Callithrix jacchus: one gene and its partners. The main gene of each other region encodes a partner of the protein of the gene in region 2 in a complex. Links are inferred from orthologs where the notes say so. Each region holds a gene or a part of one and is shown on either strand. Other genes may lie near its edges.

Region 1 (3,655 bases), on a different chromosome or scaffold from region 2:
CTTATTGTATTGTTTCGTAGATAGAGGGTCTCACCAGGTTGCCCAGGCTGGTCTGGAACTCCTGGGCTTAAGCATTCCACCTGCTTTGGCCTCCCAGTGTGCTGGCATTACAGATGCGAGGCACTGCACTTTCTGGAATTCTTTATCTCTGGTGATGCAGATGGTGGTGGCACCCAGTTGCCTAAGCCAGAGCCGCAGAAGATGTCCTCACCTCCTTTTTCTCTCTCCCTTACTCCAAAAAGTCATAATTCATCAAGTTCTGGTAAGTTTACTGGCTAGATAATTTTGGAGTCAATTTTTGCGCCCTCCATCTTCATTCCTACTTTGTTTTTTAGTTTGTTTGTGAGATGGAGTCCAGCTCCGTTGCCAGGCTGGAGTGCAATGGCAAGACCTCGGCTCACTGCAACCTCCGCCTCCCAGGTTCAAGCGATTCTCCTGTCTCAGCCTCCCGAAGAGCTGGGATTATAGGCATGCACCACCATGCCAGGCTAATCTTTTTGTATTTCTAGTAGAGATTGGGTTTCTCCATGTAGGTCAGGCTGGTCTTGAACTCCTGACCTGAGGTGATCTGCGCACCTCGGCCTCCCAAATTGCTGGTGTTACAGGCATGAGCCACTGTGCCCGGCCCCTACTTTCTTTTTTAAGACAAGGTCTCACTCTGTTGGTGGTTGGGCGCAGTGGCTCACGCCTTTACTCCCAGTACTTTGGGAGGCTGAGGTGGGTGGGTGACAAGGTTAAGAGATAGAAATCATCCTGGCTAACATGGTGAAACCCTGTCTCTATTAAAAATACAAAAAAATTAGCTAGGCATGGCGGCGCATGCCTGTAATCCCAGCTACTCGGGAGGCTGAGGCAGGAGAACCATTTGAACCCAGGAGGCAGAATTTGCAGTGAGTTGAGATTGCGCCACTGCGCTCCAGCCTGGTGACAGAGCTAGATTCCATCTCAAAAAAAAATAAAAAAAAAAGACAAGGTCTCTGTTTCCCAGGCTCGAGTGCAGTGCCATGATCATAGCTTACTGCAGCCTCAAAGTCCTGGACTCACATGATCCTCCTTTCTCAGCCTCCCAAGTAGCTAGGACTACAGATGTGTTGCACCACACCAGACTAATTTTTAAAAGATTTTTTTTGTCGATGTAGGATCTTGCTGTGTTGCCCTGGCTGGTCTCGAACTCCTGGCCCCAAGTGTTGTCTTGCCTTGTTCTCCCAATGTGCTGGGATTACAGGTGTGAGCCACTATACCCGGCCTATTCTCACTTTCTAATGCGGGCCACCTTCGTTTCTTTTTTCCTTTTTAAACAGGATCTCACGTCATCACCCACGCTGGAGTGTAGTGGCATGATTTTGGTTCACTGCAACCTGTGCCCCCTGTGCTCAGGTGATCCTCCCACCTCAGTCTCCTGTGTAGCTGACATCACAGGCATGTGCCACTACACCTGACTGATTTTTTTCTATGTCTAGTAGAGGTAGGGTTTCACCATGTTGCCTAGGCTGCTGTCGAACTCCTGGGCTCAAGCAGTCTGCCCACTTTGGCCTGCCAAAGTGCTGGGATTACAGGTGTGACAACTGGGCCTGGCCTCCACCCTCCTTTCTTTTTTGCATTGCTGCAAGTGCTCTCCATCTTTGGCCTTGTCCTTCCTCTGCCTGTCCATGGCCGCTAGGACCAGCTATTTAAGCAGGAGAGCCCGTCATATAACATTGAGATCACATCACTCTCTTCTTTAACAACCTCCAATGGTTTCCCGTTGACACTAAGTCACAGATGCCAAAAGCCATCTATTTCAGTCTGTCCAGGTTCCCCTCTACTCCTCACCCTTCAACCCAGGCCTATCAGACTCCCTCTACCTCCCCTGTAAGTGCCTGGCTGTTTCTCCTCATTCCCCTCTGTGTAGTGTCCTCTTTTTTCCCTACCCACTTACCACTGCCTTACAGTTCTTTCACATTCTTTCACATGCTCCTCATGTGTCACCTCTGCCAGGAAGTCTTCCTTGACTCAGGTTGAGTTTGGAACTTCTTAAATATCCTGGGCACTGATATAAATGTTTATTATCTTGATTGTGATGATGGTTTCTCAGGTGCATATGTATATCAAAACATACCAATGTGTATACTCAAATATATGCAATTTATTGCATGTCAAAATTGTGTGCACATTTCTGTGGCTGCAGTAGACACAGAGTTTTATAATTTACATGGGGCCCGGTGCAGTGGTTCACTTTGGGAGGCTGAAGCAGCTGGTTCACTTGAGGTCAGGAGTTCAAGACCAGCCTGGCCAACATGGTGAAACCCTGTCACTACCAAAAATAAATTAGCCAGGCGTGGTGGTGCATGCCTGTAATCCCAGCTCTTCTGGAGGCTGAGGCACAAGAATCATTTGAACCCAGGAGGCAGAGGTTGCAGTGAGCTGAGATCATGCTACTGTACTCCAGCCTGGGTGATAGAGCAAGAGTCTGTCTCAGATAGTTAATTATAATAATTATTATTATTTATGTGCAGTTTACATTCTTCCCCTTCTTCCTCCACCAGGCTGTGAGTCCCCTTTAGGGAAGGCAGGCATCTTGGAGACATTTAACATGGCTCCCTCGGTCCTATAGTAGGTGCTCAGTAAATATTTGTATATGGCTGTACATGAGCCTTGATGTTAACCCAGGGAATGTAATAGGTGAGTGACTTGTCTTTTGTTTGGGTTTACTTCAGATTTTTGGCATATTTAATAATTTAACACACAAGAAGTTTATTTTTTTTTCCTGTTAAACGTCAACTACTTAACCAGATGTGAGTAATCATTTTCAAACCTTTATCCTAGACACCATGCCACAAGAAGACTGATCTCTTCTGCTGTTTTCACCATGGAGGACTCTGGAAAGACTTTTAGCTCTGAGGAAGAAGCAGCCAACTATTGGAAAGATCTGGCAATGACCTACAAACAGAGGTCAGTCCGAGTTCACCTGTTTTTCCTTTTTTTTTTTTTTGAGATGAAGTTTTACTCTTGTTTCCAGGCTGGACTGCAATGGCATGATCTCACCTACCGCAATCTCTGCCTCCTGGGTTCCAGTGATTCTCCTGCCTCAGCCTCCCAAGTAGCTGGGATTACAGTGTACTGTGAAGGTTTAACTTATACTATCTCAAAACTGCCTGTGAAGAAACTATTAACACCCCCATTTTATAGATGGAGAAACTGAGACTCAGTGAAGGCAGATAACTTGCCCACAGTCACACAGCCTATAAGTAGTAGAGCTGTAATTTGAACTCTAGACCTATGGTCCTGATTATCCTACTATGCCACTTTTCATCATTATTATTTTCTTTTTTTTTTTTTTTTTTTGGAGACAGAGTCTTGCTCTGTTGCCCAAGCTGGAGTGCAGTGGCGCCATCTTGGCTTACTGTACTCTTTGCTTCCTGGGTTCAAGTGATTCTCGTGCCTCAGTCCCCTGAGTAGCTGGGATTACAGGTGTACGCCACCAGGTCTGGCCAGTTTTTTTTTTTATATTTTAGTAAAGACAGGGTTTTGCCATGTTGGCCAGGCTGGTCTTGAACTCCTGGCCTCAAGTGATCTGCCCGCCTCACCCTCCCAAAATGCTGGGATGACAGGCATGAACCACCATGCCTGGTCTTCCCTGTTATTTTCTAGAAGGGTTTATCAGTTCCTAGATGCT
Region 2 (2,689 bases):
TTACTCTCACAAAGTACAAGCCTTTTTAGTATTTCCTCTGAGAGTGATAAAGTTAGCTGTGTCTTCTGTTAAAAAGGAATGTTTTAACTTCAACTAGGAGCCTTTTCCTAAGAGTAAAGAAAGTAACAAAAGTATTAAGTAGTCCATTAACAAACTAATTTTGTATCTTCCACACAGTACATTGTAATTGTTAGATCAATTATCAAATGCACATTTGTCTGTTCTTCAAGTTCAGTAGTTAGCCTTTTTCTTAAAACTGAACTCTTCTCTATGGAAAGCTTTCCATTCAGACAGTATGAATCTAGCTGGATGTACGATGGACTGTATGAAGGAACTCTTGTACCACTGGAGGCCTGCCCTCCACCTGAGACTGTGGAACAAGATTTATGGGGGTAGGGACACATGAATGGCACACAAATGACAAGTAATTACTAGTGAGAGTAATTCTAATACGTAGAATGAAAATAGAAATGGTTAAATCATTTTGAAGGGAATGAAGAAGTAAATTAACAATGTATCGCAAATACATTAGATTTTAATCTTTAATATCTAACATTATTGCTTTAGGAAATTATTTCTCTGAACCAAGAATACAATGCTAATTGCATAAAAACATACACATATAAAAGTAGTTCTCCATTTTCCCAGGAAAAAAAATCCAAGTATAACTTCTAGAATAGTCAAGTTTCTTATTTTAATTATCATTAAAGTCTTGGCCATCTCATTTATTAGCTCTGCAACTTACATATTTAAATTAAAGAAACGTTATTAGACAACCGTTACAATTCATAAATGGAAGGTGCCATTACTGAGTAAATATATTCCTCCATGGGTAGATGTGTCCCTTCTCCCACCAACTAATGAAGCAGCAATATACTTTAGTTTAATTTTATTAGATGATACACTGCTGCAAACGCTAATTCTCTTCTCCATCCCCATGTTGATTTTGTGTATATGTGTGAGTTGATTAGAATGCATCAACAATCTAACAATCAACAGCAAGATGAGCTAGGCTTGGGCTTTCGGTGAAGGTTGACTGTGTCTGTCTGAATCAAGTGATCTGACCTATCCTCGGTAGCAAGAACTCTTCGAACCGCTTCCTCAAAGGCTGCTGCCACGTTTGTGGCATCTTTTGCACTTGTTTCGAAGTAAGGATAGTCGCCGTTGTCCCTGCACCAAGCTTGGGCTTCTTCTGTAGACACCTGCCGTTCGCTTATGTCAATCTTGTTACCCAGAATCACAAAAGGAAAGCTCTCAGGCTCTTTCACATCTGCATAATATATGAATTCTTTCTTCCAGTTACTTAAGTTCTGGAAGCTTTGTGAATCGTCGACACTAAAAGTAAGCAGGCAGCAGTCAGAACCTCTGTAAAATGGTGTCCTCAGGCTTCGGAATCGCTCCTGACCTGCCGTGTCCCAAATCTGCATAGTAACAAAATGTCCATCCACTTCCAAATCTTTATTTAAAAATTCCACACCTATTGTATGGAAGAGCTGGGTGTCAAACTTATTAGTTACATATCTGTTCATAAGTGAACTCTTCCCAACTCCACCATCTCCAAGGAGAATTACTTTAAAAAGTGATGATTTTCCTGCCATTGTTAATCACAAGAGCTTCAAGAACCCTGTAAAATAAAAAGGCACCATTACATTCCTTTATACCTACACATTATTCTACATGATATCAGCATTTAACTGAAATAAAACATATAGCTAGGGAATACCTAATATAATAAGACTTCTTGTCTTATTATATTAGTCATACACACTTAGCCATGTGTGGGCCACTATTCTACCATTATTCTCTAAAGCAGCTGGGAAGAGCTCACTAGTCCCCTTTCTCAGGTCACAGCTAACTATGAAGCTGGCAATCAAGCCCAAGTCTGACCCTAAAAGCCCTTTCTCTGAACCGTTCCTCTGTGATATGCCCCTGTCTGCTCATAACAAGCCCCATCACCATTTGTTAGAGATGTGTAGGAGACCAAAGTTTGCAAGTTCACATGCTTCTTTTGTTTTGTTTTCTTTTATTCTTCTTCTATTTTTTTTTTTTTTTTTTTTGAGATGGAGTTTTGCTCTTGTTACCCAGGCTGGAGTGCAATGGCGCGATCTCGGCTCACCACAACCTCCGCCTCCTGGGTTCAGGCAATTCTCCTGCCTCAGCCTCCCGAGTAGCTGGGACTACAGGCACGCACCACCGTGCCCAGCTAATTTTTGTATCTTCAGTAGAGACGGGGTCTCACCTTGTTGAGCAGGATGGTCTCGATCTCTTGACCTTGTGATCCACCCGCCTCGGCCTCCCAAAGTGCTGGGATTATAGGCGTGAGCCACCGCACCCAGCCCTTTTTTTTTTTTGGAGACAGGATCTCGCTGTTGCCCAGGTTGGAGTGCAGTGGGGCCATCCTAGCTTACTGAAGCCTTGAACTCCCAGGCTCAAACAATCCTCCCACCTCAGCCTCTCAAGTAGCTGGAACCAGAGGTGCACACCAGCATGCTTTGCTAATTTTCCTACTTTTTGTAGAGACAGGGTCTCAACATGTTGCCCAGGCTGGCTTCAAACTCTGGGCTCAAGCAATCCACCTGTCTTGGCCTCCTAAAGTGTTGGGACTGCAGGTGTGAGCCACCATTTCAGGCCCACGTTTCTTTCAATAACTTTCAATAACTTCAAACAGCCCTTCAGCGCACAGTGATGG
Region 3 (3,655 bases), on a different chromosome or scaffold from region 2:
GACTCTGCTCAAGGAAATTCTAAAGGAACTTCATACAAAAATGCAATTATCCCAGACTAGAGGCCTACAGTAGAAGAGAAATGAAAAGCAAAAATGTGGATGCCACTGAGGCATGTGGTTCAACTAAACCAAAGAGGAGTCTAAGAGAAAGGAAAACATGAGCGATACAAAAGGCAGCTCGAGACAAGGATGGAGGAAGACGGTGAATGACGACACCAGTGCAGTGGCGCGCAGGGCCTCAGGAGTTTTTTGGAGAGAACTCCTTAAACACACAGAACAAACAGAAAACCTGATGAGTCTGAATGTTTGAAAAGAGATTTAGGAAAATGGTAAAGACTTCTGGGGGTGAATTGATTTTAAATATGCAGCAAACTAAGAAAAAGCAAACGGGAAAATAAAAACGCATCTGGAAAAACGATTCTGTTTTTTTTTGCAGGAAAGACAAAAATTAGAACAGTTTACTGCACGGCTTATGTACTATATTGTTAAAATAATGCAAGTGGCTGGGCGCGGTGGCTCACGCCTATAATCCTAGCACTTTGGGAGGCTGAGGAAGGCAAATCATGAGGTCAACAGATCAAGACCATCCTGGCCGACACGGTGAAACCCTGTCTCTACTAAAAATACAAAAAATTAGCTGGGTATGGTGGCATGCACTTGCAATCCCAGCTACTTGGGAAGCTGAGGCCGGAGAATTGCTTGAATCTGGGAGGCAGAGGTTGCAGTGAGCTGAGATCCCACCACTGCACTCCAGCCTGGCAACAGACCAAGACGCCGTTTCTAAATAAATAAATAAATAAAATGCAAGCACTGACATTTACAGTATATGCATAAAATATGATAACACTATATACATTTAAATCATTACATAACTATATTAGAAGGATAGGAATGGGAAGGGGTCACATGTGGTGAGAGCTGGGGGTTGGGAGGAAATGGGAACTAAACCATCCTTTTTCTTTTGAGACGGAGTCTTGCTCTGTCGCCAGGCTGGAGTGCAGTGGCACAATCTCGGCTCACTGCAACCTCCGCCTCCTGGGTTCAAGCGATTCTTCCACCTCAGCCTCCTGAGTAGCTGGGACCACAGGTGCGTGCCACCATGCCTGGCTAAGTTTTTTGTATTTATACCAGAGACGGGGTTTCACCATGTTGACCAGGATGGTCTCGATCTGTTGACCTCATGATCCGCCCACCTTGGCCTCCCAAAGTGATGGGATTACAGGCGTGAGCCACCGTGCCCGGCCATCATCCTCTTTCATAGTGGGAGCCACTAGAAAAAGTCTAAAACCGAAACAAAAAAATTTTCAAGAAGCAGCAATGCCAGTGTGTCAGAGACATGGGGTCAACACCAGGTAATGTGGGCAGAGTAAGTAAATGTAATTGCTTCTGGGGAGGGTTAAATGGGGTGCGATGGAGCAGGTATCTTCTGGGTTTTATATTCAGCCTTTTCTAAGTGTTTGACCCTGGATGGGCTTGCCTATCTTTGAAAGAAATAACAAGTTCTTTTAAAAAATAAATGAATACAATCCTTCCTTTCAAATGACATCCTTTGGCTTAGTCTTTCTGGTAAGAAAGCAAATTTGAGTATTTACAAGGAACTGGGCTGCTGCTGACTAAGTGCTTACTATGCAGCAGGCACGCCAGACTTTACTCATTCATTCTAAAACCACTCAGAAAAGGAAGTAAGAGACATATAGGACAGCTGAGGCTCAGAAGCATAAAGTGACCTGCTGAAGGTGGGATTTGAGCCCAGCATTGTTGACAGCAAAGCCCGCCTTTTAAAAATACTATATTCTCTTCTCTCCCAAATGGATTTCTACAGTGAATGCTCCACAATGGAAAAAGAAATGCAAGGAAGCAGAGGTCTGACTCCTGGGTCATTCTGGATAACCGGCTTGTAGTACATCCGTCCCTCCTGCAGCTAGAAAGAAGGAAATGGAATGGAGGGTTCTGGTGACTTACAGAGTAGGTGACGCCGCTGGAAGACACGGGGGACACCTCGTTGGCAGAAGTAGTCACAGCCAGAGAAGCCAGGGCAGGGAAGAGACTCTCCATCTCAGGCTCCTCCGAGAGGTTGTCCTCGCTGTCCGCCTGGCCACGTTTCTCTGCCTCACTGCCCCTCCAGCTCTCCATCACGACACTGTCCTTTTCAGGCAGGGCCACATCCATGCTCCCCGTGATGGACATGAACTCGTCCATGCTCTCGTTGGCCAGGAGGTCGCTCTCCAGGCTGTCCTGCACGGCCAGCTCCTCCCGGGGGGCCTCATCCTGGGATGTGGTGGCCTCGCTGCTCTGTCTGTCATCCACACTGCCATCCCCAGGTCGCAGCACTGGGGGGGTGTTCCGCTGGGCGTCCAGGACACTGTCTTCTGTGCTCAGACTGGGCTCTGAGTGCTCTGAGAAGCCCGAAGAGAAGTTATGCGAAGAAGGATGACCCGAGTCTGGGGAACAAGTGCCGTTCACTAGGTTCCCATTGGGGATCTTGGACTGTTTCTCCTCCAATCTGCCTTCAGCCTCCACCTGCTCCACCTCATCCACAGACTCAAACACCTGAGGACAAGGTGCACAAAAACAGATGGACCAACATGTCCACGGCAGCACTACTTACAGCAGCAACCTAAATATCCAACAACAGGTGATCGGCTTAAATACGGCTCAAGCATGCAGTGGAATATCACACAGCCAGTGAAAAGAGTGAGGCAAAACAAGGTGTAAGATATGCTCCCATGTGTGACAAATAAGAAAGTGATCTAGGCTGTGCATGGTGGCTCATGTCTGCAATCCCAGCACTTTGGGAGGCTGAGGGAGGCAGACTGCTTGAGGCCAGGAGTTCGATACCAGCCTGGGCAATGTGGTGAAATCCGGTCTCTGCAAAAAATACCAAAAAAATTAGTGTGGTATTTTGGTGTGGTGGTGTACACCTCAGCTACTTGGGGGGCTGAGGTGGAAGAATCACCTGAGCCCAGGGACTCAAGGCTTCAGTGAGCTGAGACTGTGTCACAGCACTCCAGCCTGCATGATGGGAGTGAGACGCCATCTCAAACGACAATACAAAAGTGACCCATGTGCTTGTGTATGCATAGAATAATCTAGAAAGAAATAAGAAAATACTGCAGTTGACTCTGTTTTGTTTTGTTTTGTTTTGAGATGGAGTCTGACTGAGTCACTCAGGTTAGAGTGCAGTGGCACGATCTCAGCTCACTGCAACCACCACCTCCCAGGTTTAAGCGATTCTCCTGCCTCATCTTCCCAAGTAGCTGGAATTACAGGCATCCACCACCATGCCCAGCTAATTTTTGAATTTTCAGTAGAGATGGGGGTCCACCACATTAACCAGGCTGGTCTCAAACTCCCGACCTCAAGTGATCTGCCCACCTAGGCCTCCCAAAGTGCTGAGATTACAGGCATGAGCCACCACGCCCTACCTGCAGTTTACTCTGAGGAAGGGTAATAGGGAATCAAAATAAGGGGAGACCGTAACTTTTCATCATATAGACTTTTACCATTTGTACATAATTTTATCTTTATGTATGTATATGTGTATTTATTTATTTCAGATGGAGTCTCGCTCTGTTGCCCAGGCTGGAACAACATATAGGATGGCATTTATGTCCACATTTTTAAAAAATTTGCCAAACATTGCTATATATTATCT

What was found.
Region 1: the proteins of RAB9A (region 2) and NDE1 are in contact, whole or in part, in a crystal structure (PDB 7E1T), measured with the Homo sapiens proteins. The link is inferred for Callithrix jacchus from reciprocal best matches to the Homo sapiens genes RAB9A and NDE1. Residues at the interface, in NP_001182257.1 of Homo sapiens: Ile40, Val42, Phe44, Asn46, Gln59, Trp61, Arg68, Phe69, Ser71, Leu72, Pro75, Phe76; in NP_001137451.1 of Homo sapiens: Asp99, Gln102, Thr103, Ala105, Ile106, Gln109, Leu110, Tyr113.
Region 3: the proteins of RAB9A (region 2) and SGSM1 are in contact, whole or in part, in a crystal structure (PDB 4QXA), measured with the Mus musculus proteins. The link is inferred for Callithrix jacchus from reciprocal best matches to the Homo sapiens genes RAB9A and SGSM1. Residues at the interface, in NP_062747.1 of Mus musculus: Phe37, Thr39, Ile40, Gly41, Val42, Glu43, Phe44, Leu45, Trp61, Arg68, Phe69, Leu72, Phe76; in NP_766306.2 of Mus musculus: Leu256, Leu257, Tyr258, Gly259, Lys260, Asn261, Asn262, Tyr277, Asn294, Met297, Asn298, Gln361.

Annotation. Positions count from the first base shown.
Region 1 is NC_133513.1:13,585,192-13,588,846, forward strand, and holds part of NDE1 (nuclear distribution protein nudE homolog 1), read left to right. Parts: intron 1-2,805; coding exon 2,806-2,931; intron 2,932-3,655. UniProt on the Homo sapiens protein: Required for centrosome duplication and formation and function of the mitotic spindle. Essential for the development of the cerebral cortex.
Region 2 is NC_133524.1:13,938,076-13,940,764, reverse strand, and holds the end of RAB9A (ras-related protein Rab-9A), read right to left. Parts: intron 1,625-2,689; 5' UTR 1,599-1,624; coding exon 993-1,598; 3' UTR 518-992; downstream 1-517. UniProt on the Homo sapiens protein: The small GTPases Rab are key regulators of intracellular membrane trafficking, from the formation of transport vesicles to their fusion with membranes.
Region 3 is NC_133502.1:195,848,530-195,852,184, reverse strand, and holds part of SGSM1 (small G protein signaling modulator 1), read right to left. Parts: intron 2,551-3,655; coding exon 1,963-2,550; intron 1-1,962. UniProt on the Homo sapiens protein: Interacts with numerous Rab family members, functioning as Rab effector for some, and as GTPase activator for others. Promotes GTP hydrolysis by RAB34 and RAB36.